Linked DNA regions of Pelodiscus sinensis. The main gene of each other region encodes a partner of the protein of the gene in region 2 in a complex. Links are inferred from orthologs where the notes say so. Each region holds a gene or a part of one and is shown on either strand. Other genes may lie near its edges. The genes, in order: CASP9 and APAF1.

The links.
Region 1: the proteins of APAF1 (region 2) and CASP9 are in contact, whole or in part, in a crystal structure (PDB 4RHW), measured with the Homo sapiens proteins. The link is inferred for Pelodiscus sinensis from reciprocal best matches to the Homo sapiens genes APAF1 and CASP9. Residues at the interface, in NP_863651.1 of Homo sapiens: Thr22, Ser23, Tyr24, Met26, Asp27, Ile30, Ser31, Ile37, Glu40, Glu41, Arg44; in NP_001220.2 of Homo sapiens: Asp23, Trp26, Asp27, Leu30, Arg36, Pro37, His38, Glu41, Gln44, Arg45.

What each region holds. Positions count from the first base shown.
Region 1 is NC_134733.1:10,349,338-10,364,889, forward strand, and holds the start of CASP9 (caspase-9), read right to left. Parts: upstream 8,273-15,552; 5' UTR 8,156-8,272; coding exon 8,024-8,155; intron 6,757-8,023; coding exon 6,543-6,756; intron 5,708-6,542; coding exon 5,618-5,707; intron 3,603-5,617; coding exon 3,565-3,602; intron 1,496-3,564; coding exon 1,319-1,495; intron 99-1,318; coding exon 9-98; intron 1-8. Other genes in the region: DNAJC16 (dnaJ homolog subfamily C member 16), read left to right, coding at 11,861-12,027, 13,900-13,966, 15,042-15,375. UniProt on the Homo sapiens protein: Involved in the activation cascade of caspases responsible for apoptosis execution. Binding of caspase-9 to Apaf-1 leads to activation of the protease which then cleaves and activates effector caspases caspase-3 (CASP3) or caspase-7 (CASP7).
Region 2 is NC_134711.1:83,306,611-83,322,049, reverse strand, and holds the start of APAF1 (apoptotic protease-activating factor 1), read right to left. Parts: upstream 6,058-15,439; 5' UTR 5,548-6,057; intron 5,506-5,547; exon of another isoform or gene 5,440-5,505; intron 1-5,439. Other genes in the region: inhibitor of nuclear factor kappa-B kinase-interacting protein-like, read left to right, coding at 6,629-6,647, 7,915-8,113. UniProt on the Homo sapiens protein: Oligomeric Apaf-1 mediates the cytochrome c-dependent autocatalytic activation of pro-caspase-9 (Apaf-3), leading to the activation of caspase-3 and apoptosis. This activation requires ATP. Isoform 6 is less effective in inducing apoptosis.

The DNA.
Region 1 (15,552 bases), on a different chromosome or scaffold from region 2:
CCTCCTACCTGACACCCATGGGAAAGGATCACCACCAGGCAGCAGTCCAGAGCGCTGTGGTCCTGCCTAGCCAGGCGCTGCAACTCCGAGGCAATTTCCTACACACATTTGCAATGGTTAGACTTCAACACTGCCATTCTGAGTCGCCAATTTAGCAAGGGTTATCACCAGTTCTACCCCTTGTCAATCTCACGTCAATGTCACACTGCTGAAAGGTTGGACTGATTCCCCCAAAGTCTGACCCACACAAGAGCACACACAAGCACACACTGCTCCATGCTGATTTGGAGATTCGGCTTGGTGGAGGAGAGCAGACCCATGCCTCACTCCAGAGCCCACTCCTTCCCCTCCCTTTTGCCAAGAAGGCTGCTAAAATCAGTGCCAAGCAAGATGACGGTTCTGTAACGCTGACACAGAGTCCCACCCTCTGTTCTGCACGTGGGACAATGAGCCACTGTTATATGGAACACGTTCAGAGAGTCACTGCAACCTCCTGCTACTTCACATTTACTGTTGAACCAAAGAGATTTCTTCTGCATGTTGCTGTTGTAAAGGACACGCTCACTTCTGTGTTTGATCCGAATGCATCACAACTGGAAGGCAGTGCATCCAGGCCAACCAATGCACTGCCTCAGATTGATAAATAATCCAACACATTTGTTTGGGTAGAAATGGGCGCTCCAAGAGATTGAATGTCCTACTTAAGATCAACCATTCTATAAGACAAGACAAACAGAAAATTGAGCTCCTGGGTACCCCAATATGAGAGAAGCTAAGTCAGAGGTATCAAAGAGATACATCCTTAGACAATTAGTTATAAATCATCTTCAGGAATAAAAACTCTGCCCCGAGAGACCAAATCATGAGGGTTCTTGTTTGTTCTGTTCCTATAGCAGTAAAAGACAAGATGATTGTTTCTTCGAACACTGAAGTTTGGGGTGGGGGGGAAATGTGGCTTTAACATCAGAGCACACATTGTCACCCTATAGCAACACCGTTAGGGTATGTCTACACTGCAAATGAACATGGGATTGTACCAGAGGTAGGTACAACAATGTCAGCTTTGATCTAGCTAGCATGGATAATGGGAGCAGTGTCAATGTGGTGTTATGGATTTGAAGCCACCCAAGAATGTCCCAGACTTGCTGGAGGACATGTACACAGGCAGTCAGCCTATGCTGCCATGTCCGTATGACTGTTATCTGAACTAGTGAGATTACAGCTAGCATGGGTATGCTCTGTCTGTGCTACAGCCACACCTCCGCTTGCAGCAAAAGCTCTTAGGCCATCGCCTCTCGGCAGATGCTTCCACCCTTACCTGAGCTTTGAGATCTTGTCGGATGAGGACATCAAAGTGCAGTGACTTGAAGCGCTTCTCCAGTTTCTCACAGTCTACGTTGGAGCCCTCTCGAGAAGACAGGTCAGACGTTTCAATGAAATTGACGTTGTTGATGATGAGGCAGTAGCCACACGGGTCAGCTTTCAGAACATAAACCTGGCACATGTCGCCACAGGGGAGCAGTCAGCAGACAGACTGAACTAAACCTACGTTTATTCAGTGCCCACTGGCTAATCCAGCAGGATGCAACTCTGAACCAAAAATGCGACTTTTCATGAAGCTCATTGGATTGCTTCGGTGAATTCAATGTATTATTTGCCCAGGATGAGGGGTGGAGAATGGGATCCACACACCACTAAGGAGTGAATACAAACTACTGGGATAATGTAGCACATCTAGCTTTACTTTATTCATGCAGTCCAATTGAAATCAATGGGATCAGCAAAATCAGGGCTTGATTGAAATGGATACAGGGCCAAATTAACTTCCATTGACTTACAACAAGGATGAACTTGGCCTCCACTTTACTAAACACATAGGTCTGCATTCATGGTACTATATTCAGTTGTAACAATCATGCTGCATTCGTGTGCGCAGTACATTTCCATTAGTGAGGGGTTTATCTTAGTATATTTCACACTATAATTACAAACCTAAAATACCCACTATACAAATACAGCACACTCTAAGTGTTGCACGAGTTAATTATTAGTTGTCTTGATAGTAATTGCTAAGGGAAAAATATTTGGCTATGTGGCTGGTCATATTTATGTTGCCATTAGAGGAGTAAGGGTGGTGTGACAATTGATCTAATCTGAACTGAGCTAGCCCCGTCAAAGCAGCAGGACTCATTCAGATGCTAGATCTGACACCTGGACATCAAAGTCACATTTGCTAGTAATTATTTATCTTTTAAACAACACAATACTGTTTGAGTCAAATAAACTGTAAATACGCACAATATAAATTACCAGACTGCAGACAAAAAATTTCAAAAGCACCTAAATCCCTTTAACTTTGGCACTGAGGAACAGATTTAGGCCTACTTGACACTCAAAAGTTGTGTCAGCATAGCACTGTTGGTTAGGGCAGAGGCGAGCAAAATACAGCCTGCAGACTGGATCCGGCCCACCAATCCTTTGGCTCCCATGGGACCCATTGGAATCCTCAGGTGTGGTCCCTGCAGGTCCCGCTGGGCTGCTGGAAGGGAGCCACCTAGGTAAGCGCCTCCTGGCCAGAACCAGCATCTGGCACCTCACTCCCTCCCACAGCCCAACTCCCTGCCTCAGGTTGCCACCCAAACCCTCTGCATTCTGCTCCCCCCTGTTCCAGGTCACAACTCCCTCCCAGACCCTGCACCCCCTCCAATATCCCACCCTAGGACCAGAGTCCTCACTTGCATCCATACCCCCTCTCCAACATTGTACCCCCTGCTGCACCCCAATGCCCTGGCCATAACCTAAACCCTCTGAATTCCTCCCCCAGGTCAGAATCTTCTCCTGCACCCTAATCCCTTGCCCCAGGTCACAACCCCCTCCTTCACCCAAACTCCCTCTCAGACCCTACACTCTCTCCTTCACCCCAATAGCTCCCTTCTGCACCCTGCCTCCGTCCCAGACCCTGCACCTCCTCCATAGAAAAGTGTGGCCCCTGACCACTTACCAACATTTTGGTGTGGTCACCCCAGTAAAAATGATTGTCCATCCCTGGGTTAGGGAGAGGAAGGACAATCACACCCATAATTGAATGTTCTAGGGCTAGCAAAGTCCCTAGAGCAGATGCAGTTATACCCATGAAAAAGGCCTTTTGCTGTTATAGCTTATTTAATTGGGGAAACAGATATAAGCTGTACCAGATGAAAAGTCTTTTAGCCCATTACACTGACATATCCTTTTTAGTATAGACAGAATCTTACAAAGGTATTTAGGCACCTGAAATGATGTCAAGTGCCTAGCAAGATTTATAACAGTACCTTAGTGAGAAAGGTATCTAACTCCCATAGACTTTCAATGGAACGTAGGCAACTCATCTGCATAGATACTTTTGAAAATTACACTAGGCACCTGTCTTCCCTTTAGACTCCTAAATACCTTTGTAGATCAGAGTCTTAAGAGCCTAAGTCCTTTTAAAAATGGGATTCAAAGTGGGTGATGGTGGGGGAGAAAAAGGAGGTGGTTCAGGTAAGAAATAAGTAAAAATACTGTATAGAAAAACAAGATACTAACCATATCTGAGTTCTTCCTGGATCTGTCTTCAGCACAACCTATAACATGATAAGAGAGAAATGACATACAGCTCCACTATCTACCGCACATTCATTAGAGGGTTAGGTCCCTGCTTAAAAGGATTAATATTAATGCACTTTATTTCTGGATACATTCAGTCACACCTGAATGCCTCCTTATTCCTAGCCACACACAGGAAAGTAATATTTCATTATCTGATTGTTCATTTACTGGAGACATTGAGAGAGACATTCTGGAGGTTCATTTATCATGGCTTTGGATACTGCCAGTCAAAGAGTATGTCTATGCAGCAAAGTTATTTCGAAATAACAATCCTTATTTCAAAATCACTTTCCTAGCGCCTACACAAGCCAACTGCTATTTTGAAATTAATTCGAAATAGAGGAGGGCTTATTTCAAAATTAGTAATCCTCATTCCACGAGGAATTGCACCAATTTCGAAATTGCTATTTCAAAACAAGCGCTGTGTAGACACTTATTTCGAAATAGGGGGCCTCCAGCCCTTCCCAGGGTGCCCTGCTGACTGTCCTGGCCACAAGGTAACTTCTGACCTGATGCCCCACTGGAACCAATTCCGGCTGGCCTTAAATGCGATTCAGCGTCCAATCAGTGTGGATGCGCTATTTCGAAATACCAAAAAGGTATTTCGAAATGCATTTTGTGTGTAGACGCGTTATTTCGAAATAAGATATTTCAAAATAACTATTTTGAAATTAGATATTTCGAAATAACACTGTAGTGTAGACATACTCAAAGAGTATTGCCCACAGAGTCATAAATTTGAGCTCTGCTTGTCAGAAGAGAATTGGATGGGAAATCATCAAGAGCCTTACCACCTCACACACAGGCAAACTAGCCTGGCCTAGAAAAGTCTCTGTAACAATCCATGGTACAACTCCAACTTGTTCTGGTGGCATCTGGTTGTTCAGATTGATTAAATTAGATCTCAAATTAACAAATACTGTACATCGTACTATATCCCTTATGGCTGCACCTCTCCCATTATTCAGAACTTTGGTGGATGGATCAGTCACGACAGAGTCTTGTTTTTAATCTGGTTTTAATCTTGGTATTTTCTGAGTTCAGTTAATGGCTCAGAGGCTCCTAGCCACTAGCCAGAAACATGGACCAACACTATGGCTGTGATTGAAGTAAGAATACATGGAGATACCCGTTCAACAGAAGGAAACAGCTGCAGGTGGCTGCTAGTCCCTGCACACAAGGAGAAAATCAGAATGGCTCAGAAGCGACACCTAGATGGGCAGGGAATGGGAACAATGTGTAGGCAGTGAGATCAGCCCAGCCTCTGGCAAAAGGCTGCAGACAGAGGAAGGTGCAGGGCAGAGGAAGGTGCAGGGCAGAGAAAGTGCCTCCAGAGGAATTATGGAGCAGCACAGATACACTCCAGAGCAGTGACTGACAACCAAGGCAGTGAGTGGGTCGCATGAGTGGCTCTCCTTCGACTCAGTGGATCGCAAGATTGAAATCCAGTGATGGGCAGCCTGTAGCCCATTGGGGTTCACCTGCAGCATCTGCTCTCTGACCCTTCCCCCATGCCTCTCACGCATGGAGCTCTTCACTTCCTACTCCTTCCTCTCCCTCCCAGCACTTCTGGGGCATCATGAATCTGCTGAGTTGTGCTCCGTCCCTGCTCCTGCCCTTCCCTCCCAGAGCTTGAACCCCCACGAATCAGCTGATTCACAGCACTGCAAAAGTGTTGGGAGGGAGGGGGAGCAGTAGGTAAGTGCAGGGCTCCACTGCCCCAGTGCACAAGAGGCACATGGGGGAAGGGGACAGAGAGGGGGTGCACAGGCCACAGGTGGAACCCCAATGGGCTACAGGTGGCACTCCAACCCACCACTGCTCCGGAGGGTACTACAACCAGGAGGAGGATTGGCACAGTATGCTGGCCACCCTGAGCATCCCTGAAGAAGATGGGCTGAAGGGACCTTCATGAAGTCTGGGGAGAGAGGAGAAGGAATGAAGGACAGACAGGGTGTAAGTCAATAACTGACTAGCAGAGACAGCTTACCTTGAGACGCTACACTGGGACGCCCCGGCTCTTGGCATCTTTCAGTCACAGTTCGGACTGGGGCAGGCAAATATTCAGGATCCTTCACATCTGTAAAGGTAGAAGGCATCTGGGCCTTGAGTGACCATTCTTCCTATAGACTTGAAATAATAACTCCCAAAATAACTATTTCAAAATAAGTTATTTTGAAATAATTTCCCAGTGTAGACATAGCCTTAGCTTCATTATCACAAGTCCTACAATTGACTGGAAACTGCTTTTGTTGTTATACATACCTTGGATTCTGTATTTTCCACTTCAACTTATCTGATTAAGTGGGTTTACCCAGGAAAGCTCATGAACTAATATATGATGTGTTAGTCTCTAAGGTGTGCCAGGACTACAGGCAGTCCCCGGGTTACATGGATCCGACTTACATCGGATCCCTACTTACAAACGGGGTGAGGCAACCCCGCACTAGCTGCTTCCCCCCAGCAGACCAGGGAGATGCGAAGCTAGCGCTCCCTCCCCAGCAGACCAGGGAGACGCGGAGCGGCTTTTCTCAGCAGACACCTCAGCTTGAGAATAAAGGACTGAGGGAAGTGAGATGTGGGAGAATAAAACTGAGCTCTGGAGAAATGTTTGGCTAGAGTTTCTCCTACAATATGTACCAGTTCCGACTTACATACAAATTCAACTTAAGAACAAACCTACAGTCCCTATCTTGTACGTAACCCGGGGACTGTCTGTACTCATTATCTTTAAAGATACAGACTAACACAGCTACCCCTCTGAGATTATACAATCAGTGATTCTGGAAGACATGTGGACGATCAGATTTTACAAGCTGTTAGGCAGCCTCCTGTCTGTACCTGCCTGGCAACAGAGCTTACAACTGCAGAATCCAATTTTGCTTGTTTATTCTGAAAATAACACCACTACTCACATGTATCACCCTTTCCACCACGTAAGCCAATTTTAATTGGTTTTATATCAACTGGACACAACTGTGGGAATTTGTATCCTTCACTCAGCAAAGCAGCAAGGTCATCCTGTCCAGTTTCTTGCAGGCTTGAGACAAATGCAGGAAAAGCTTGTCTCCCTCGCGTCTGAAGGTCTGTAACCAACTGCCTCGCTTGGTCTCTTCGAGTGCCTGCTCTCTATAAGGGAGCAAAACCAAGACAGAAAGCATTAGCATCCAGTGCACAAGTCATGCCAATGGTCCAGCATTTCTAAATAGCACAGTGATGAATATGAGAGGGCAAGGAAAAGAACAGAACATAAACTAATCAAGTATAGCTTTTTTAGTCTGTACCCAGGCAACTCCAGGGCCTACTGATGTCCAAATGTCAGCAGAGTGAAGAAGATTCTGCCATTTCACTGCTGTTTTTCAGAAACTCTAGGTGGCAGTGACAGTATTAAAAATTATATCACTTCTATTCAACTGCTGTTGGAAAAACCTATACACAGATGTGGTTGAAACTCTCGTGCCCCATCAAGCCCCATAACTCATTGATGGCCCTTCCATCTTCCACATCAGCCTCTGGTGAGAAACTCAAGACTCTGCCTATTAGACACCCACGTACTATCATCTGAGATAGGTGGGGAAACTGAGGTACAGAGACATTTCCCTATGTCAGACAGAAAGTTAGTGGTAGAGTGAGGGTATAAAACCCAGGGCATCTGATCCATTCTCCACTCCAATCACTAGACATCACTGGCTCCCACAAGATGAGACAAGTTCTACTGTATCATACATAACTTTTTAGTTGCTTGGTTTTGTATCATACAAACTAACCCCAGCCTTAAAGAGCTTCTCTTGGCTTGTTTTCATCCATGATTGGGGTGGGGAGGAGGGAATTATGCCACTTTCATTCCGACAGTTGCTCTTCCAGCTAAAGTCATAAAGCTCAAATTCACAGCAGCTCTGCAACTTGGCTCCAGCAATAACCCAGAGCAGAGATATTAGAAATCCAGGGAGCTACCCAGAAATTTTGATTTTCCAGTGGCTGTGAAAGTTCAGATGTTTACAGGCCCAGCAGCTCGCAGCCCGACAATGGCATCTAGTGGCTGCTTGGTTAATTTCAGGAGAGTTCACCAGGAAGCCGAAGGGGGTAGTGCCAACCCCACCAGCGATAGTGGGGGCTGGATGGGTGTTGATGTGAAGGGAGGGAGAAGAGACACCGCCCCCTTTTCTACACTGCAGTCTCTAGTTATTGGGGGGGGGGGGGTAAATATGAATTACCCTAGAGCAGAGCAAGGGGGAGGGGGCTGAGCAGGGATAGGAGGAAGTCAGGAGCAGGGTGGGGGTGGCGACAGCCAGGGCAGAACGGCGGGGGTGGGAGGATGGAGCGGGGCAGGACAGAAGCTCCCCAGATGCAGCCCCGGGTGCGGAGGAAGCAGCGGACCCAGGGTAGGGGAGGCCACCTGGATCTCCTCGATCATGTCCTGGGTGAAGACTCCTTTGTGCAGCAGCAGGTCCCAGAGCGGAGCCACCTGCAGCTCTTGCACCAGGCGCAGGCGGCTCCTCTGCAGCAGCAGCCGCTGAGCCTCCTCCATCCCCGCCACCCCGGGGACCCCCTCCGGTGGGTCCCGCGGGAGGGGAAACTGGAGACGGCCGAGATGCTCCGCCTGTTTCCGGGAACCGTCCTCAGCCCGGCCCCCTTCGGAGCGGTCTATAGGATCCGCCTTTCCCCTAGGCCTCTCCTCCTATAGGGGCCTCCCGTTTGGTTCCTTAGCCCATAGGGACCGCCCCTGAGCCCTACCGCGTGTAGGGGCTGTGCTACAGTCTGTGCCTGTCCTTCCCTTTTTACAGCAGCTTCCCTCACAACACCCTCCCTACTGTCCATAGGGGCCGAAAAGAATCTACCGGCTCTGTCGGGCTTTAGAGCCCCTATTGCCCTTCCGCTAGATGGATTTCAGTTGTATTTACTCCCCCTCTTTAATAGACAGTTCTTCCCCATGAGGGAGCGTTGCACAGCTAACAGCAGTTCTGTGTGTCACTATCCTCTGTTTGACTAGCTGGCATGGATCCATACCGGCCTAGAGGGACCATTACTTTGTTCCCCTCCATGCACGGACTCTCGCATTGGTGTGGATTTTAAGTAACTGTGCTGAAGCCTGTTGGTTCTACTGGCTTTCCACTGGCACAGCGGGACCCTAGTGTGTGTTCTTTCTTGCCATTGCACTAATTGACCCATACATGTGTGTGTAAGCGAATATATTCAGGCTATTTAGAATAATTAATGAGGATAGGAGAGGACTGGCACCTACATCTAGCTGGTCAAGCCCTTTAATTCAGTTACCACTCCAAGAAAAAAGTGGGGGGAGAAAGTAGGGCTAGATAAGAAACAATATCGTGAGGTCAAGAAGCCACAGGGTGATACCACACCATGGAGATGCAGGCTGACACCATGATGACACAACATCACATTGTGATGCAGCACTACATTGACCTGAGCTAATACCAGGACACATCGCATTGTGACTATGGTGACATGGGTTGACACAACACGGTCACATGGTGATGTGGCATCATGGGGACATGGGCTGATACCATGAGGTGACATCCCATGGTGACCCAGCACCACTGACATGGGCTGATACCATGAGGTGACATCCCATGGTGACCCAGCACCACTGACGTGGGCTGACACCATGACACAAGTGCAGCAGCGAGGGGTGCTCCCACACCCTTGGCTTCCATTATGCAGTTTGGGTTCAGCAGCTGTCTGCATAGGCACAGCCACACGCACACCCTCCTCACACACAATTGTTCCAGCGCCCCTGCTATGACATGACATCACAGCATGACACAGCGCCACAGTGACAGCCTGACACCACGACACACCCCAGGCCTGAGTGGTGGGATGCCAATGCCTCCCCACGCCAGGCCGTGCCCCTCCCACCTGCGTCTCCGCTTGTATCCCGCCATGCTCCGCGCGATGGGACTCGCTAGCTCTTGGAGGGCCGCGCTTCTCTATAGCCCGTATCGCGTCTCTATGACCGGGCGGAGCGGAGAGCGGAAGTGAGCCGAGCGGCGTCTCTATGGTGACGGCTGAGAGGCGGGGCGGCGAAGCCGGAAGCGGGGACCGGGCGCCCGGAGCACAGGGTGGGTATCGCCCCCCCCCATCTCATTGGGGTCCCAGCCTGGGGTGAGCGTTGCCCCTTTAAGGGGCTTCGACATGTGATCTAGGGCGGACCCTCCCCGCGGGCCGTCTCGCCCGCCCGCCCCGGGCTCCGAGCGGCGCCTGGGGCCTGGCATGGTCGGGGCGCCCTGCTGGGGGGCGGCATTGGGGTGTGGCCAGGGCTACCCGATGGGCGGTGACGGGGGGGGGCAGCTGTGGGGGGCTGGGGGTCCTGCTGGGAAGCAGCGCCGGGAAGCACGGGGCGCAGAAACGAGCGGGGTTCCCGGCTCTTCCTCCCACCGCAACCCCCGGCCTGGGGTACCCCGCGTTGTCAGGCTGGGATGTCAAGCGCTGGGGGGTGTCACATGACACGTGCCCCCAAATGTACATTTCACACCCATGAGAGTCTATAAGAGCTGGGAAATACTGGGGGGGGGGGGGGGGTGAGAGGATTTTTTTTTCAGTGTTCCGTGCTCGTGTGTCTCTTTAAACAACCCCCCCCCCCCCCCGCTAGACCAGTGATGGTAGCTCTGAGAACCTGTTGGTAAAATGGACTGTACTTACCGTCATTGCTCAAGATGTGAACTATGCAGCCTATAAGCAAAAAGCATAAACAGTGAAAAGCTGGATTTAAAAAAATCTTTCCCCTGTTCGTAATGTGTTATAAATAACATCTGTGAATAAACTTATGTACGCTGTTAGTTTAACAATCTCACCACAGCTGTAAATGGTTTCCCTTGCTGTTGCAAGTAGTGTTCAAGATAATGGTAATAGATTAAACAAAATGAAAGAATAAAAAAAATTAATAATGTGTATGGCAGCTTTTCTGTAGTCAGTTTCACTGCTACCATTGTGCGCTTAGCCATAGGATCACATTCTGAAACTAGGAGAGAAGGGTTTTTTATTTATAATAGGAAAATATGGATAAAAAAGAACAACATGGGGGGGCAGGAGTAATAACTAAAAATATTCTAACATGCTTTTTGAACTGACTGGAGTTCAAGGAATAGTCTAGCAGCACCTTAACAACTAACAAAACATGTAGATGGTATTATGAGCTTTCATCAGATGAATGGAGTTATTAAAAGTCCAGTTATAATAGGGAATCAGGTGGGGGGAAAAAAAGGTTCAAGAAGAAATTCAAGGTGGCATTGTCTCTTCAACTAACATGGTCCCATGTAACTGTCAGCCATCAAAAGACTTCGGTTTCTGATTACTACATAGTAATGATTACTGCATTTTGAAAAGTGTACTGGTCTCTTAAGTGTCTCTGCTAGTCCTGATAAAAGACTTTAGATAATGGGATGGCAGAAACAGCTAGGCTACGTCTAGACTGGCATGATTTTCCGCAAATGCTTTTAACGGAAAAGTTTTTCCATTAAAAGCATTTGCGGAAAAGAGCGTCTAGATTGGCATGGATGCTTTTACGCAAAAGCACTTTTTGCGGAAAAGCGTCCGTGCCAGTCTAGATGCGGTTTTGCGCAAGAAAGCCCCGATCGCCATTTTTGCTATTGGGGCTTTTTTGCGCAAAACAGTACTGAGCTGTCTATACTGGCCCTCTTGCGCAAATACATTTGCGCAGAGGGCTTTTTCCCCGAATGGGAGCAGCATAGTATTTGTGGAAGAACACTGATAATCTTACATCAGATCGTCAGTGTTCTTGCGCAAATTCAAGTGGCCAGTGTAGACAGCTGGCAAGTTTTTCCGTAAAAGCGGCTGCTTTTGCGGAAAAACTTGCCAGTCTAGACAGCCCTATTGTTTATTGCTTTTTAATACCTGAAAACTGGTAGTGAGCTCCTATTAGGTATAAAGCACAAGTGTCTTGCTGTAGAGTTCTCAAGATAGAAGCTACTAAAATGTTGAACTACACAGGGAAGCAAAATTATAATTGGAATGATATGATGATCATCACATGCAAGGGCAAGAACAGACCCTACTAAATCCTACCTTTTTAGTAATCCAAGAGATGAATTCTGGTCCTAGTTGTTTGAAGGAAATGGGGCTTTTGGTCTTGCAGTTTTGCCACTGGTGTAGGATTAAATAAAGGGGTACATAGATTTTGCATCAACCCCTAGTTTTGCACTTCTGTTTTATGTATGCGAAAACTCTTCTGTCCAGGTTGCCTAAAGGAAGAGAAATGGAACTGAAAAAATTAAGCATCTCGTTGATTGTGGTCCTGGTTCTGGTCTTGGTCCTGCAAATTTTATCTGCAGTGGATTTTGATCCATACAGAATCCTTGGGGTCAGCAGGACATCCAGCCAGGCTGATATTAAAAAGGCTTATAAGAAGCTTGCCCGGGAATGGTAGGTGTTTCAAAATACATTGCATATTAAATGATTTCTGCAAGGCAGAGTCAGCTGTTTTGATGAGTGCACCAAATATTTGTGAGAAAAAGCATCATCTACAAAATAAAAACAAAGACATTTAAAATTATACAATAACCATTTTACCCTGACAGTCTACTTGCTCTTACCATGTTCAGTAAAACCATATTATAACTAGTGAGCAAGAGCCTTAGCTGGTGTAATTCATTGTAAATCCACAATGTAAGTATACTGATTTATTCCATCTGAAGAGCTGCCCCATAGTTTTCAGGTAAATGTATCTGCTGAGCAGGAAGAAACTTTTTTTCTTTTAAAGAAAAACTGTACAGTGTTTCTTAATAAAGGGCCCAATTTTGCAGCCTGATAGTGAGAAATACTTACTTCAATGAGTAGTATCATTACAGTCAATGGCACCTCTTTTGTGAGTAAGTACTACTCAAATAAGGTTTCTGGAATTGTACCTGTAATGTTTAGTTTTCTTGTTTGTATGTGTATTCTATGTAAAAGGTCAGTCAGACCCTAAATTCTGTATATGAGTCTTGTTCCCACATGCCTTGCACCAGTGACCTGTCAACTTCAGTGAGACTATTCACAAGATGAAAGATTACACATGTCAATGCAAACTGCAGGATCTGGCCCTGAATTATACCTACTAGTGCATATTGCATATGCTGTAATATTTCCTGATGGCATTTTCTTCCAGTTCATCCAATGCTCTGGGCATCAGACTTTGGAAGGTCTAATATGAAACTCCCCCCCTCCTGTTTTGTACTTTACAAAATATAACATATTAGAAGAATCACTGAGGGCAGAAATTTAAGAAGCAAATGGCTTTAAATAACTTCTGTACTATATCTTTAGGGTTGTCATAGGAATTGTTACTGAGTAACACTCACCAGTGTTCCCTGTAAGCTGTGCACCTGGGCAGCTACCCTGGAGAAATTCAAATACCACCCAGCTGATTAGCAGAATGCCCACGGCCACCAACATGTGTTTCTATTGGTGTTGCACATCCACACATACCTTGGTGCACATATTTATTCCGCATATATATATATATATATATATATATGGAAAAATTAGGGAACATTGACACAGGCTGGTCACATGTGCTAATTAGTTACATGTGCTCCTCACAGCCAGCTAGTAACTCAACTGAGTCAATCTAAAAAAATTGATCATGGCCAGCTTCAAGTCAGTGATTTTTTTTTTTTTAGTCAAATTTTTGAGGTTTCTGAAAAGAAGTGAATTAAACTAACTCAAATTATGACCACACAATAAGACCTGTTTTAACGCTGAAGGTGAGAGCTATTGTATGGTATCTGGAAATTATCTGTACTCTTATCTGTAGCTTTAGGGGTCTCTCAGAACCGAGGCATTATACAAGAAAATTATTAAGATTCAGAATAGAATTGCAAATATACCAAATAGTTGCTGTGCCTAATATATATAGGGCAGCAGCTAGTGCATGTATCTTTGAAATTGGTAGGATTATTGCTGAAGGAATTTTCTGCCTGGTGTCAAATCTAGTTTTTAGTTCCACTTGGATCATTTATTTATGAAACAAAATTGGAAACCGAGGAAATGCTTCCACATACACCACTCAAATCCTGTTGAAATTCTTTATGTAGAACCTGTGTGGGAGAAATAGACTTTTGCCATAAATCTGCTTTAAACATCAGACAAATTAAGAAGTAGATACCAGTAAATGGCATTAATGTCTACATATCCTGCTTAATAGGAGTATTGCACTGAAGCTGACAACCCTAGTGGCGTACTTTTGCCTTTCTGTGATAAACTGCTGCTGCTTTCTAAAGGATAAAATCCATTTTCTGTATTTTTGCATTGTAGGCATCCTGACAAAAACAAGGACCCAGGAGCAGAAGATAAGTTTATACAAATTAGCAAAGCCTATGAGGTATTGGACACCATTTGGTAACTTTGTGCTGTTTTTAGGATGTATATTAGAGTCTGGAAAGTGCTGTTCATCTTTCACAAGTAGCCTTTACTATTTTCCTGTTATGTCTACATGGAACAATTTCTCGGCTCTGTGTATGGAAGGGTTGGGTGGTGGAATTTGTCTAGGTTTTCTTGAAGAAAAAAAAAAGTTGCTGATAGCTGCAGTCTTAAAAAAATTGCTATCCATTTAATACTCAGATGTGAATTAATCTCAATAAATCATGAACATCCCACAATTGGAAATATTGTGAAAGAATAAATGTAAAGTTCTATCTTTTGATTCTTGAAAAGCATCAAGCAAAAAGTAAGGAGTGTCCATTGAGCTTAGCAGAGCAGGCTGGTGCCATCTCTTTGTATTTGTTGTGCACGTTCCAGTGATGTTGTAAGTGGGTTTAATGGTTTGAAAGCTTTAGTCACTTCTAAAACATTATTTGCATAAGTAGCACTTGCAGGTCACTCGTCCAAGCCTCACTGAATCAGCTACTGCAGCATGTTGCATCTCTGATGCTGAGTCCCCAGGAATAATCTGAATTTTCCTCTACCAGTTCAATAGACAGTTTTTGCTGCAAATTCTGCTTGTTTACCTGAGCATATCAGCTCTCCCAGTTCATTTGACTGTTAAATGTTTGACATTGTGAGAAAGCCAAAGTAGTCTGCTGGACTATGATTGTTTTAGGACTCAATTTGATGGCCTGTTAGCTGAGAAACTGAAATAATAAAAGAATTTGGAAGACATACAGTGTCAGAGCTAGGAAGCTGGAATTCTCCAACTAAATGTTCTGTCTCTTCATGTGAGCTCTGTTTCACGCCATGCCACATAAATGGATTTTGCTACAGAGACAAGATATGACAGTTCCCTTTCTTGGAGCTCAATTGGGTAGACATTCAGCAACAGGAATTCCTTTTCCCAGTATGTCTGCTCCTTATTGCCATTCAGTTATTTTAAGAAGGGGAATTGTCATCCTTCTAGTTCTCATTCAGTATGAGCCAGCCAGCCCTTGTTTCTTTTCAATCTTCTTAACTCTGATTGACAGATCCTCTCCAATGAGGAAAAGAGATCCAACTTCGATCGTTATGGAGACGTGGGTGAAAATCAGGGGTACCCTCAACAGCAGCAGCACCACCACTTCCATCACTTCCATGAAAGCTTTTACTTTGATGAATCCTTTTTCCACTTCCCATTTAATTCGGAGAGACGAGACTCCTCTGATGAGAAATACTTGCTGCATTTTTCGCACTATGTGAACGAGATTGTGCCGGACAGTTTCAAAAAGCCCTACCTCATTAAAATAACCTCGGATTGGTGCTTCAGCTGTATCCACATTGAGCCTGTGTGGAAGGAGGCTGTTCAGGAGCTAGAGATGCTGGGTAAGAGAAGCAAATTTAAAAAACTCAAGCTGCAATGTGTTTTCAGGGAGAGGCTCTCTCAGCAGTTTCCATCCTAGGCTGTGGCAATTGACTTCAGCTTCTGGGGTTGTGTTTGAATGTGAATTCAGCCACCGAATTCCTTTGTGGTTTATCAGTGAATGGATTTATTTCTTTTAT
Region 2 (15,439 bases):
GGAAGCCGGAGGCAGAGTTGCTCTGCCCCCAGCTTCCTGGAATCAGCCACTGATCAGTTTCAACAGCGGCTGAATCTGGAGCCTGGGACAGAACAGCTGGGGCGCTGCCAGGTAGGTCCCCCCAGGACCAACCCGGCAGCACCCCAGCTGCTCTACCCCAGGCGTCCACAACAAAAGCCTGGTCTGCTGGGGGGGGGTGGCGCACTAGCTGCGTCGTCCCCCCCAGCAGACCAGGGAGACCCGGAGCAAAGCCGCGGGGGCGGCGGGGTCCCGCGCCTCTGCGGCTTTGCTCCGGGTGTCCCTGGTCCGCTGGGGGGGGGGGGGGGTGTCCCCAGCAGACCAGGGACACCCGGAGCAAAGCCTTGGAGGTGGTGGGGTCCCGCACCTCTGCGGCTTTGCTCCGGAGCAAAGCCTTGGAGGCACAGGACTCCGCCGCCTCTGCGGCTTTACTCCGGGTGTCCCTGGTCTGCTCGGGGTGTCCCTGGTCTGCTGGGAGGGGTCCCTAGCAGGCCAGGGACACCCCAAGCAAAGCCGCAGAGGCGCGGGACCCCCAGGGACACCCCGAGCAGCTTTTCTCGCCCTGGAGGACGCGGTGGCGGGACCACTGCGCGTCTGGGTGGTCCCGCCGCCCGCGAGTTCCGGGGCGAGAAAAGCCCCGTTCGTAAGTGCAGATCCAACATAAGTCGGATTCGCGTAACTCAGAGACTGCCTGTAAATTAAGGAAACAAAATGAAATCCTCTATCATCATCTCCTTTAGCAGTGATTCTCAACCAGAAATATATATCAACTCATCTAGATGCTTGGCTAGTTTTACAACATGCTATGTAAAAAGCACTAGCAAAATCAAACTAAACTAAATTAAATGACTTGTTTATATTGTGCTATATACTATACACTGAAATGTAAATACAATATTTATATTCCAATTATTTTATAATTATATAGTAAAAATTAGAGAGTAAGGAGTTTTTTTAGCAATAGTGTGCTGTGACACTTTTGTACTTTTATATTTTATTTTGAAAGCAAATAATTTTTGAGTGAGTTGCAACTTGGGGAGATGCAAGATAAATTGACTCATGAAAGGGATACACTATTCCGGAAAGACTGAAATACACTGTTTTATAGTATAACACATGTAAGTAGCTTTTCTTTTTTTTTTTGGCAAATGAAAGACAGGTATTAGTGTTTGGATTTTAGAAGTATACTGTACAATAAATGTGAAACATTACCAGTATATTCAAAATCTTACCCAAAAACCCTAATAATGTGTTCACGTTATCAAAAAGAACACACTCCTACTACACGCCAAATTATGTATAATTGGGACACTTAAGTGGCTCCGCCATTAAAGTTGTATTTAAATTTGTACTTAAAGCATGATTGAAATTGAGACATTTCATATTTTAATTGTGAAATTAGACAATGTTCAATACACAAATTCTTTGCAGATCAACTGACGTTCCCATTTTTTAGCAATCAAATATATATTAACTTTTCAAGAGGAAAAACAAACAAGTTAGTGATGTTTTTGACACATATACCAATTAATATAATGTCTCAAGGACAAGGCACTTTTCAAATATTGCAGTGAACCATACAAAGAGTTATTTATCATAACTGAGTAAGTCTCCCCAAAGACAAGAGTTCAAAACTGTCAAGTTTCACCAACTAGTTGTTTTCCAATGTTGCCTAACTTGCCCAGGCAAGTCCCTGGAAAAGCTACTCACATACACTGCTTGCTGAGAGCACAGCTAGATTATACCAAAGCATCAGTATGTAAAGGCAGAATTTCCCACAAAGCTCCACCACCATACATGTTTACATCTCACTTGCTCTCCGCACACTTTATACCCTTCCTTGGGTCATCAGAAGGGGAAAAGTAAGGACTGGGGCCTCACCCTTTCCCAAATACTCATGGCAAGCCAGCCCTACAGAAGTGTCCCAGTGAGAGGAACTAGATTTTGCAGCTATGCCTCTACAGAATTCAGGAGTTGGGGTTTTCTTATTGTTATTTGCAATACAAGGTTTGGATTAGTAGAGTCGTTATGAGTTTGCTAGCAAAGCAGATTTGTGAGGGAGCTGAACACAAAGCTAGGCAGCAGCAAAGCTCTCGCTAAGGCACAGATGTAACATGGATCAGCTTTATGTTTAAAAAAACTACATTAGAAGAATATTAAGATTGCAAACACAAGCATCAAAATGCTAGAAAATGCTAGCATCATTACCCATGTAACTTCAGTTTAGCCTGTTTGTGCAATGTACGCAGGCTCCCTACACATACCAGAAGCCTGCCGGTAACCATAAAGGTTAACCAATTAATCTAGGCTCATCAGTTAACTGTGTACACGGTTACACTTTCAAATCCCTATTACATATCCTTTGTCCCTACAACCTGTCCCTATCCCTCCCTTCTGCTCCTATACTTCTCACCTGCTTTTCTCCATTGCGACCCACACAACTCCTACTTAACTTCTAACTGACCCCCATTCTATTTCCTTATAAATCCTGTCTCCTGCTCCTAATACAGAATCACAGAACTGGACGGAATCTTGAGAGATTATCAAGTCCAGTTCCCTGCACACATGGCAGGACCAAGCACCATCTAGACCAGTGTTAGGCAACCTGGAGCCCACTGGAGCTTCACCTGCAGTCTACAGACCCTGTCTATTCCACTCTCCCACAGCGGCACTGGAACCCTGCACTTCCTACTTCTTCCCTTCCCTCCCAGTTCTTCAAAGCTGGTTGTGGCTGTTCCAGATCTGGGAGGGAGGGGGAAGAGCGAGGACAAAATGTGAATCAGATTTGCATGCTCCACAGAGTACTGCAGCCCAGTGAAGTGAAGGGAGGGCCATTAATGCAGCCCACTCCCTATTCTTGGTTGCCCAACGCTGATCTAGACCATCATTAACAGGGGTTTGTCTAACCTGATCTTAAAAATCTCCAGCGATGGAGATTCCACAATCTCCGTAGGTAATTTATTCCAATGCTTAACAACACTGACAGTTAAGAAGTTTTTTCTCATGTTCAATCTAACCCTCCCTTACCACAATTTAAGCCTACTGTTTCTTATCCGGTCATCAGAGGTTAAGGAGAATAATTTTTTCCCCTCCTCCTTTCAACAACATTTAAGGTACTTGAAAGCTGTTATGTCCCCTCTCAGTTTTCTCTTATCCAAACTAAAAAAAACCAATTATTTCAATCATCTATCATAGATAATGTTTTTTAGACATTTAATCATTTTTGCTGCTCTTCTCTGAGCTATCTCCAATTTGACACAGCTTTCCTGAAATGTGACACAATACTCCAGGTGAGGTCTAACCAGCCCGGAATACAGTGAAAGAATTATGACTCATGTCTTGTTTGCTATCTTCCCTATTCTCTTACAATGCCTGGCTCCTTCGATGCCCTCTCCAACCTTTAGACTCCTATCTGAGCCCCCAGCTCCTGCTCCAACTCCTCTACCCACTACTGCATCTAAGTCAGACTGCTTCCTTCTCCAGTGCAATGCTGGCTGTGTGCTAGCAAGAAGGCATCTTCTATCGCTTACTCTATCTTCCGCTCTCAGTTCCAGTGCCTAGCATCACAGCAGCAGCAGGAAAAAATTCTAACAAAGTCTTGTTCAGCTCTTGCAAACCCAGGATAGAGTATGCTCAACAGGGGCTCTGAGTCAGGCTGTCCCTACCAACATCGAAAATATGCAGCACCCCTAGCTACTCCTCCCACACTCACTGTCCCTTTCCCCAGGGCATATCCCTATGATCTCACCTCTACTTTTATGGAGATTTGACTCTTCTAATCCACCACATTGACCTCCTCCCAAACTCCAACACCATACTGCACCATAGGGTACCTTAAGGTCCTCCACCACTACTGGGCACCCTGCACTCCCTAAATGGCATTCCTGGCCAAGACACCCTACAACTTCCCCATAGTGCATTCTCTTTGCCCATGCCTCTGCAGGGCAGGCACAACACGATCAAGGGGTGTGCGCAAAACCTGCCTCCCAACAGGAGCATAAGCCACTGGTTGCATGAAGATTGGGATCACCCTGAAGCCTCCCTTCCCTTCAGGACAAACTCACTGGTGAGGCTGCACCCTACCCTGATGCAGCACAAGCACTGGACATGCTCCAGAAACACACTAGAGCCCCAGCCCTCTGAACCAGGTGCACTGTAACAGCAAGTGAAAGGGACAGCCTTGAAATTTCACCTAGCCCAGCCACCCACCTGGCAGTGATTTATGTCTCTCCTGGCTGCTTCTGCTATGCCTGCTTGACATTGCTGCTGGAGAGGGACATGTGACCTCTCTCTCAGTTTCCTTTTGCTTCCCAGTCAGAATTAGTGATGTGTTCAGGGCTCGACAAATCATTGAATCTACTCGCCTATGGTAAGTAGATTTTAGCCAGTTGTCCCGTTCACCGACAGCGCGCGCATGCGGGTCTTGCGCATGTGCAGTGCGGGACTGGTGAGCAGATTTCGCAGCCATTTGTCAAGCCCTGGTGATGTTAAAGGTTAAACAGTTAACTGGTTACTTGGTAAGCATTAGCTTCACTGCCATGCTTATCAGGTAACCAGTTTCTGCAAGGGAAATTAATTCTGCACATGCACAGTGGCACAAAATTCCCCCAAGAAATATGAAGCTTCTTCAGACTTCCTCTGAAACATTTGGCTCTGGTCACTTTCAATCAGAGACAGCAGTACAAAAGTAAATGAATCAGTGGTCTGCTCTGATCCAGACTGCTCTGGCAAGTTCTGTTTTCTTTTAGGATCCTCTGTACTAATACAATGTACCACTCTTTGGTTTTCAATACAAAGGAGTGTTTAAAATAAATCATTACAGTCCATAAATCAAAATGTTGGGCCTAATCTACTTATTTTAAGGAGTAATATAAAAACACAATTATGTCCCAAGTCTCCCCAATGAGACAGATCTCCCTATTACATCAGCCTTTAAGTAAGGAATCAGGCATGTACTAAACAGAACACAAAACTGTCCGATAAAGACAAAACAGTTCTTATTCATTCTCATGTATAATAAAGACACTGAAGGCAGCCAAAAACCCTATCAGTATATTCTTGCAAGTGACAACCACAAAGGTTAATTATATAATCTATTTATGAAGTACAGCGCCAGCTAAAATAAAACTAGGACTGAAAAAAACATCCAGCCAAGGAAAACTGTCTCCAAAATAAAAACAGAATTCAAATGCATTATCGAAAGTGGCACTGATGAGTCTTTCTACATTATCTCACATGATGGCAGCAACAGCTGTGTGATCTCCATGTAGCAGCAGCTCAGCAGGCAGAAACCGAACACTTGGGCTTGAAAACTGCCTATTTATTACTAGCACCTCCAGCCTCAAAAATCACAAAGGCGAGCTCCCAGGTATAGCTGAGCCACGCCGCAGCCTCAGCAAGCACGTGCCAGCGAGACCCTACCTCATTGCACTCCCGGGGGGTTGGGCGACGGCAGAAGCTCCGGCCACGCAGAGGGTCCGACGCCCCCTAGAGGCAAGTGGTGGAAATTAGACACGAAACTTTACGCACCGGACAACTTTCCCCGGCCGGGGGCCGCTCCCATGGGCGGGGGTCTCACAGCTCCGGCACCAATGGGAAAAAGAAGCTCGTGGGCTTCACACCCCCGCCGCACAAACCCTCTGCGCTAGAGCGGCAGCGAGTGAGGGAGGGGGGCTGGAAGGGAGACAGACACCTCCCCCCCCCCGCAGAGCCCGCGGCATTTCAGCGAGGCCCCCGCGCCTCCCCCCGCGCCGTTCTCCAGGGCCGTTGGGGCGCGCGGTTACCGGGCCGCGGCAGAAACCGGCAGCCAGCGCGGAGCAGGGTCTCGGGGAGGCCGGTCGCTAGCACGAGCCAGGTTCGGACCCTTCGCGGGTCTGAGTCAGGCTCGGCGCCGCTAGCGCGGGGAGAGGCGCCCCGCAACCAGCTGCCACTTCCTCCTTCCGCGAGGCTGGGCGGCGGCGCGGCTGGCAGGACAGACGCCTCCCGGCGAGCGGCCGCGCCGCTCACACCGCCCCCCAGCGCCCAGGACCGCGGAACAAAGCCACGGCCTCCTCCCGCCCCTCCCACCCTCAGCCGCTGGGCTCGCGCTGGCGCACAGCCGCCCACGCTGGGTGCCGGGGCGCGAGCGGCGGGGCAGGCGCCTGACGTGGCGCGCGCGAGCCCGCGAGGAGCGGCAGCAGGGCAGGAGTTTGAAGCGGAGGGTGGCGCGCCTGGCTCCAGCTGCAGGTACCGGGAACGGGCGCGCGACGGGGTGAGGCGATCGGGAGAGCGATGGCGGGGGGGGGGGCAGGGCTGCCGATGGGAGATCCTGAGGAGGTGACGGGCGGGGTGGCCGTTATTTGCGGGGCGCTGCTCAGCCCCCTGCGTGTGGCTGGGGGCGCCCCTCAGGCCGACGGGTTGCGTCCGCCTTAAAACGTTTTAAGTCGCCTTTAACATTCCTTCCGAAATTCGTTTTCCTTGGAGTTTTCCAGTGCTCCGCCCAAAGCAACTTTTAACGGCTTTAAAGAAAGTCGGGTCTGAGCGGTGGGGATCTTTTTTTTTGTTCATGCCTGATGCACTTCTTGGCGTTCGTGTTAATAACTCTCGTATCTTCTCAACCTTCATCTCATAGATGTTCATTTGGTCATACGGTAAAGCGTTGTGCGCCGCTAAATAGAGCGAGGACTATATTACGGTAGAATGCCTGTTGAACAATGAGATTTTGTTTATAATTTATTATTGTTTTGTCTCTTGTATTTACAGGGCAAGGATTCTTAAAGCTGTTAAAACTCCCTAAATAGTGCTTAATACAAAACAGGAAAAATAGCTGTTTTAAGTCATTTACATATATTTGCATTTGAAGGTTGAAAAATATAGTAACTAATGAACCTGGCTTTATGAACGGACATATTTTAAAAGTTATAATACAAACATTCACTCCCCCTCCCAAGGTGATTCACTATCCCAGGTTCTTTTCCCCTTTTCCGCTGTGAAAGACTCAACTGTAAAGCAACAGATTAGTTGCTCAAACATGAGAAATCGTGAAAGATAGTGTTGTCTTGGAAAAATGTTTTGTTTATTTTTCATATCTCTTTTAGGCATAGTAATCTTAAGAACATCTTGTAAACTCCAATTGCTTCTGCATCCTGAGTAGTTGAAAGTTTTCCTGGACAATTGCCATCGGCTTATGTGGAATCAGCTTTCTTTTTCTTTTTTTAAATTAAATCTATGGGCTTAGTGCTATGAAGAATTGGACCATTTCTTTGAAAGTTTGGAAGATGATGGTCATGTAATGGAAAACTGAATAGTTATGACAAATTCTTGAAAATGATTAATATAACTGAATAAATATCAAGCAATTAATGTTGAGTGCAGTTGCTTAAGTGCATTTTTGGGAATTCTCTGTGTTAACTTGGAAGGGTATGTCTGCACTTGCAACCTCTTCTGAGAGAGGAATGCAAATGAAGACATTCAAAATTGCAAATGAAGCCAGGATTTAAATATCCCATGCTTCATTTGCATATTCGCGTTATGGTGCTATTTTGAAATAGTGCTATTTCAAAATAACAGACGGTGTTAAGATGCGGTTATTTCAAGAGAAAACCCTTCTTCGAAATAACCCTTATTCCTCATACAATGACGTTTACCGATTATTTCGAGAGAAGGGTTTTCTCTTGAAATAACCGCATCTTAACAGTGGCTGTTATTTCAAAATAGTGCTATTTCGAAATACTGCCATAATGTGAATATGCAAATGAAGCGCGGGATATTTAAATCCCGGCTTCATTTGCAATTTCGAATGTCTTCATTTGCATCCCTCTCTCAAAAGAGGGTGCAAGTGTAGGCATACCCGAAGGAACTAAACAACTCATTTTGCTTTCTTTTGCTAGCTCTCTGCTTGCTTTCTGTTTCCTAAAGATATTCTTAAAATGTCTGATGTGAAGCAAAGAAAGAAACCTGTTCCTTCATCAAAGCATAACGAAGAACCACAGAAGCAGAGCAATTATGGAATGCTCTCTAATCCCAGAAGTGGAAGAAATAGCCCGAGTTCCTTTTGGATAGATTCGCGAACAGTCTTAAACCTACTTTCACTTTTTGCTTGTCTACTGCTGACCTGGTAAGTAATCCTTTAAAGGTAATTCTGGATATAGACTAGGGGTGTAAGCTCCTCTTTAACTTGCTAACTAGTTAAGCATATTGGTTAACCACTTACGGACACTTTCGGCACATGATAGCATAAATTATATGGTCATACAGGACATACCACACTAATACCAACCCTGGTACCTTCTTTTGCAACAAACCCGTTGCCAGCTTTGTCCACATATTCACTCTGCTAATACCATTATTGGACCTAACCAAGTGAGTTATAAGATCAAGAACACACATTCCTGCTCATCCAGAAATATAATGTATGGTATTGTGTACCGAAAGTGTCCGTTTGCTATATACATTGGCGAAGTGTCTGAGACGTTTGTTCAAAGAATCAATGCTCACAAAACAGAAATTATACAGGATCACAAAGAAAAAACAGTTTCTTGCCATTTCAACCAGAAAGAACATTGTCTCAATGACTTGATTACCTGCATCCTGCTTCAAAGACCTTTTCAGACCACACTTGAAAGAGAATCCTCTGAAGTGTCATTCATGCTTAAATTCGACACTTTACACCTAAGTTTAAACAAAGACATTAATTATCTTACACATTACAAAGATAGCTTCCCCAATTATCACCTCTAATATCATTAGCTCACAGACATTTACCTCTCCCCTCCCCCATCCCCGTTCTGTTCTGAAATGTGATTTGTCCTTTTCATATGTGTTCATTTTTTTTAATTGTATCCTTTGGTATATATGGTTGTGCCAATTTTCTTCCACTATTTGATTTGAAGAAGTGGGTAGAACCCATGAAAGCTCATCACCTAATAAACCATCTTGTTAGTCTTTAAAGTGCTACATAGTCCTGTTTTTTGTTTCATCTATTAAGGATGAGGCTTCCCAGTTAACCGGTTAAACCTTCACATCCCTAATATAGACAGTTTCACACTTTTAAATTTTACTTTCTCTGATTTTTTTTCCTTGTCACATACAATGGAATTGTATATGGCATTAGTAGACTAGTGTCCATTTCTGGTGTTTGCCATTTTAAAAAGATGTTGACAAACGGGAAGAGCTCCAAAAAGAGTCATCACAATGATTAGAGGTCTGGAAAACCTATCTTACTGTGGGAGACTACAGAAGTTCAATTTATTTAGATTAACAAAAAGGTTAGAAGGTGACTTGATCATGATGTCTAAGTAACTATATGTGGATAAGATTTCCAGTAGTGGAGAGTTTTTTAATCTAGTAAGCAAAGGTATTATAATGAGATCCAATGGCAGCAGGAAGGCAAAGCTGGAAATTGGACCTAGAAATAAGGCATTGTTTATTTTATTTACAGTGTTGGTAAAATAAAATAACTTACTTAGGGACATGGTGGATTCGTCACCACTTGAATTCTTTACATCAAAACTGGACATTTTTTCTAACAGATATGTTCTAGCTAGAAATTACAAACTGTATAATCTATGGGTGGAAGACTGGTCCCAGTGAAGTCAGTGGCAAAATTTCTACTTAAGTAGGAATAGAATTTCACTCAAATAATCATTGACTAGGTCACAGGATTGTCTGGATTAGAAGAATAAAAACTGTATAATTTTAGTTCATCTTAAATTGGCACATGTGGGATAGGTATAAATTACATTTTCTTAGTTTTTGCTCCAGACCTCAGTTTCAACAGTCCTTTATTACAGATGCTTTGGACTCAGTTCTCTCTTTAATTGCTGTATGTTGTTTTAATAGATCTCTGTTAAAAAAAATTCTTCTACTTAAATTGATCCCAAAAAGAGGATCCCTGGACTATCTGTACTTTTTCTATCTTGATTTGGGATTGAGATGTTAATAGCAAATTAAATTTATTTCACTGACAGTGCCCTCTCCGTTGTCTCCCATTTCATCCTATGGTGGTAGTGGTGGTTGCCTACATGCCATCAACTGCAATTTCATTGTATTAAGACTATAACATTTACACAGTGTCATACTCAAGGTACATTAATGTGTAGCTGTGTTTACCCTTGCCCTTTAACCTGGGATGCATTTTACACTGCTTTGCTGCTATAGCCTCCACTATGGACTGCTCTCAAACAGCCACTAACATGTAAGTTACTAACAGCTATGCCTGTGTGTGAACTGCAGCCAATCTACCACATCTTGACTCTTTATCAGTCTAAGCCCGTGGTCACCAACTGGTTGATCACGATCGACTGATAGGTTGTGAGGCCTCGACCAGTCAATCGCATGGTGTTTGAGCCCCGCCCACTTCCTCCCCACCCCCAAGAAGCCCCACTACCTACTTGCAGTGAAAGTGGAGGTAGTGCCGGCTTCCCGCAAGGTGGATGGAAGTCCTACAACTTCGCACCACTTCTGGGTGTTCCGGAAGAGTACTGGCTGCTCCCCTCCCTAAGTTCTTTGGCGTGCCGGGAACTTGCCTGGGGGAGTCCCCAGAGGAGGCACACAGGGGCTTCCCTGCGCTGCAGGAGGGGGTGTCGGCCCCAGAGTAGGCATGCGCGGGGGCTTTCCTTCTCTGCGGGGCGGGATGGAGGGGAGTCCTTGGAGGAGGCTGGGGAAGGGGACTCCCTGTCCCTCGCTGCAGAACCCTATCCCCTCCCCCCAGCATCCTGTCGCTCTCTCCTGTGCCCCACCTGCACCCTGTCCCCTGCTGCAGAACCCTGCCCCCACCCCAGCACCCTGTCCCCTGCTCCCACTGGCACCCTGTCCCCTACCCCGGCACCCTGTCCCCTGCTGCAGAACCCTGATCCCACCCCAGCACACTGTCCCCTGCCCCAGCACCCACTAGCACCCTTCCCCAGTACCATGTCCCCTGCTCCCACCAGCATAGTTGGGGCCACATTAGTGAGGCCTGGGGTCTTTTTGGGAGGAGGGTTTGGTTTTTTTTGGCATCTCCCTTGTGTGGCCCCAACCGACTTTTCTGTAGGTCAGTGACCCCCTGACTCAAAATAGGTTCCCTGCCCTTCGCATAAATAAAGACAATGCAGAAACTTTTTGTGTTTAACATAGTATTTTATTTAAAAATGAAGCCTGGCCAAAAAAAAAACCCAGTTGGGGCCACGCCCCCATCTGGCCACACTCCTGCACCTCCTAGATCTGAGCCTATCATACACTGAAACCCCCTGCCCTGAGCCCTCACATACCCCAACTCAAATTCCTGCATCCTCACAGCCATGAGCCTGTGACTTGCTTAGTACCTCAACCCTCCATCTTACCCCAATGCTCCCCAGCCTGGAGCTCCCCCCCTGAGCCAGCATCCCCTTCTCCACCTCCTCCTGCATCCAGATTTCCTCCCAGAGCTTGCACCTCTCACCCCTTCCCACATCCAAATCCCTCATTTCCACCCCAGAGCCCACACATCCTGTCTCAACCCAGTGAGGGAACGGCTAGACTGCAGGAGACATCCTGGAAAAACTCTTCCGCATCCAAGGATGCATTTGTTCTGCTTTTTTTTTAGTGGAAGAGCAAACATGCTCTTTCGGTAACCCCTATATTCCTCGTTCCACGAGGAATAAGGGGAATTCAAAAAGAAAGGGTTTTTCTAACATTTGGTCCAGTCTAGACAGGCCAAATGTTGGAAAAACCTCTTCCTACATAAGAATTGGGGAAAAAAGTGGCAGTGTAGAGTGTATAAGAGCTGGGGATAGCAAGTGATGGAGAGGAGAACAGAGAGGCCAGGGCTTCAAGGAAGGGGTGGGGTCTTTGGGAAAGGGTGGGGCAGTAGATCTTTGCTTGTTCTGAGATTTAAAAAGTGATCTTGGGTGTAAAAAGGTTGGAGACCACTGGTCTAAGCTATAGTACAAGGTCACCCCCGTTCATTCCTAATCTTACCCTCCCCCCCCTCCAAGAAATATATTTCCTGCATCATCTGGCCCTCTCCTGGACAATACAAGTATCATAAGTCTGTTATTTCTTTAAGATAAAAATATGATATCTTATTATTTCAAATAATTTGTCAGACACTTCATATTATACACAGCAGGGATGTTAGATAGCAGGTAATAGAACAGTCCAGTGGTTCCCAACCTTTTTTTATATCATGGACCAGCAAACCCATTCAGAAACTTTCAACAGACCGGTAACATTTTATTTGTATGTATGTGTGTGTATTATGCAAATAATGAATATGTAAATATGCAAATAAAATGTTACCTATCCGCCTAGCCCCAACCCAGCCTCTTACTTCCCAGTGCTTGACACCCTTTGACCCCCATCCCTATGCCATTTAACCCTTTAACTTCTGACCTCTATAGCCCATGCCCACACCATGACCCTACCCCACCCCCACACTCCCGAGAGCAAGGCTTCCCCCTCTAGGGAGCATAGCCATTGCTGCCGTGCAGGCAGAGGGAGCGGCCATTGGTGGCATGCACACTTATTCCTCCTTTGCTCCCCCTTCCCAAGCATGTTTCTCATCCCCATGAGTAGAGGTGGAGGGAGTATGGAGCCCCGACTGGGCCACCATCTTACCTGGGTAGGAGGTGGAAGGAAAGCGCTTCCTTCTCTGCCTGCTGCTCCCTCAGCCCCAGCACCGCCACCAAGCAAAATCAGCCACCATGAACAATTGTCTTCAGCTCCAGCAGCTGCTACTGCAGCCAGTGGTTCGTGAACCAACGGTTTGGAACTGCTCGGATAGTCGAGTAACCACATGAATTTTTATTGGTTACTCAACTTTCTACTGTCTCCGGGGACGGCAGCCAGTGCATTCCTGGCCCCACTCCCAAGGAGTCCCCTGCTATCTATCCCTTGCTGCTGCCTCTATTACAGGAGGCGGTCAGCAAGGGGAGCCAGTTAAAAAACCAGCTCTGTGCATACACCAGTTGCTTGCCACAACCTGTGCTGATGCCTCTGATAAGCATAAGCTTATCTGGTAGTCAATGGGAGAATCAACTACTCGTTCCTCCCTCCCTTTGCTCCCTCTCAGAGACGGTAAGGGGGAGAAACAGGAGCCAGTGCTGGAGGGAGCCAGCTTAAAAGAGGTAGCCAGGAGGGGATGCAACCTCTCTGCCTGCAGCTGCTGCAAACAAGAGCTACTGAACTCACTGCAAGCCAGGACAGAGCAGTCTGGGACATTGCGCCTCTGCATTTTAAATGTACAGTAAACTTCCGATAATCTGGCACCTTTAGGACCCAGGGGGTGCCGGATTATCAGATATGCCAGACTATCAGAAGGGGGGGACTATGAGGGGTCTGGAGTGGGGTGGGAGGGGATGCCACCCCAGACCCCTCATAGCCCCCCCTTACGATAGTCAGGCTCTGCCCCAGGAGTCCCTGATTCAGCCGCTGCTGGTCAGTTTCAGCAGCAGCTGAATCGGGGATGCCTGCAATAGAGCAGCTGGGGTGCTGCCGGGTTGGTCCTGCAGTGCCAAGGGGCGGCGCTACGGCACCAACCCAGTAGCACTCCGGTTGCTCTTGGGGACGCCTGGGACAGAGCAGCTGGGGTACTGCCCGGTTGGTCCCGTAGCGCTTCCCCTCGGGGCTGCGGGACCAACCCGGCAGCACTCCAGCTGCTCTGCCCCAGGAGTCCCCAAGAGCAGCTGGGGTGCTGCCGGGTTGGCCCTGCAGCCCCGAGGGGCAGCGCTACCAGACCAACCTAGCAGCACCCCAGCTGCTCTGCTCCCGGCTTCCCCGATTCAGCTGCCGGTCAGTTCCAGCAGCAGCTGAATGGGGGAAGCCTGTCCGGCTGCCCCAGCACTTCCGGGTTCCTGATGGTGCCGGACCATCAGGAGTCCCGGAGCATTGGATGCTGGACTAATGGAGTTTTACTGTAGTAAGAGCCCAGCAGCAGATAGAGGCAGCAGGGATGTAGAGGCAGACTTTCTCCTGCTTCTCCCCGCTCTTTGCTACCTCTGTATCAGAGGCAGCAAGGGGAGGAGGAAATAAGTAGTCAAGAAGATTAACCAATAAGCCTAGGTTTATTGGTTAATCATATACTCAATTACTCCTTTACATCCTTAGTACACATTGGATTAAATAAAACAGAAGAAGTTTATTAACTACAAATAGATACATTTTAAATGAAACGAAGTAATGAAGCATAAAAGTCAGAAATGGTTACAAGAAAAATGAAGATAAAATGCAACTAATGTCCAACTTTACAAACTAGGTTAAATTCAAACCATAGTTTTTTCTCATCACGTGCCCTCAATAGCCTTACTGGCCAAACTTATCAGGCCAGGACCGTTTCTTCTGTTTAATGGCTATTTTGTATATCTGTTCCTGTGCTGTGAATGGCTGTGGGCGGGAGGGGGCGGAAGGGAGTAGGGAATTTCTTGGGGCATTTCTTCTCCTTTATATAATGTCAGTCTCCATGTTGGAAAACATTTCCAGCTAAAATTCAGGACTTGGAGTACACTGCCGTCTTTTATGTTGATATAACTATCACTAAGGGGGTGGAAAATCATACTCCTGAGCAACACATTTAAATCAACTTAACTCCCAGTGTAGAGACATGTCCCATTGTGTCCATTAGAGTCCCTTTCTGAAGCCCTGCCCCAGCCATCCTAACTTTTTTTGTAAAAGAGAGCATTTGTCTCATTTGTGATGTGGAGGAATATGCAGAGAGTGAGCAGAGATGCCAGTACTCTGCAGGGGGGAGGCTGAGCTGGAGGGGAAAGGGAGGAAGTGCTCAAGTGAATGGGGGCAGGCAGGGCTCTAGCAATGAGAAGCAGCCTTCAAGCAGGGGGGCCAGCAGGGTTCAAGTGATAAGCGACAGCTGTGATTGGGAGTTTGGCAGATTCATGTTACCAGTAGAACAGTCCCATGCATGTAAGGTGATCTTCGGGAAATATGGTCACCTTAACATGTAAGGCTAGTCCATGCTGGTTTTCCCATCTCTTTGAACTCCCTTTGTTTTCCTTCCTGCTGTATGACTGTTTACTGAGCACACATTCTTTTGTTTGAGCCAGCTTTTTGCTATGTTTTGGAACATGTGCCAATTATACAGGGACATTTCAATTAACTTTTTTCTTTTTGTTTAAAATAAGTAATAGTTGAAAGAGCCTGAACTAAGAGCCTGTAGGATAAAATCTATTTATCCACAGAACTCGTACGTCACAGGCAGCAGAAATATAAGCATTCCCACAACACAACAGCAGTGGTTAAAATTAACACAAAATTAGAACTAGCTTGGCCCTCCCTGTGTCAGAGCTGCTAAATATAGTTTTGAGAAGGCAAATTATCTTGTTTTATTTAACTTGACCATCTAATCAGCTAACCACTTAGTGAAAAAAAATTTAAGGATTTCCTTTCCCGTGAAGGCACTTTTTGTTCAATATATTTACACTAAATCACAATGAAGTGGTTATGTAGCTTGGTGATAGCTGAGTAGAACACG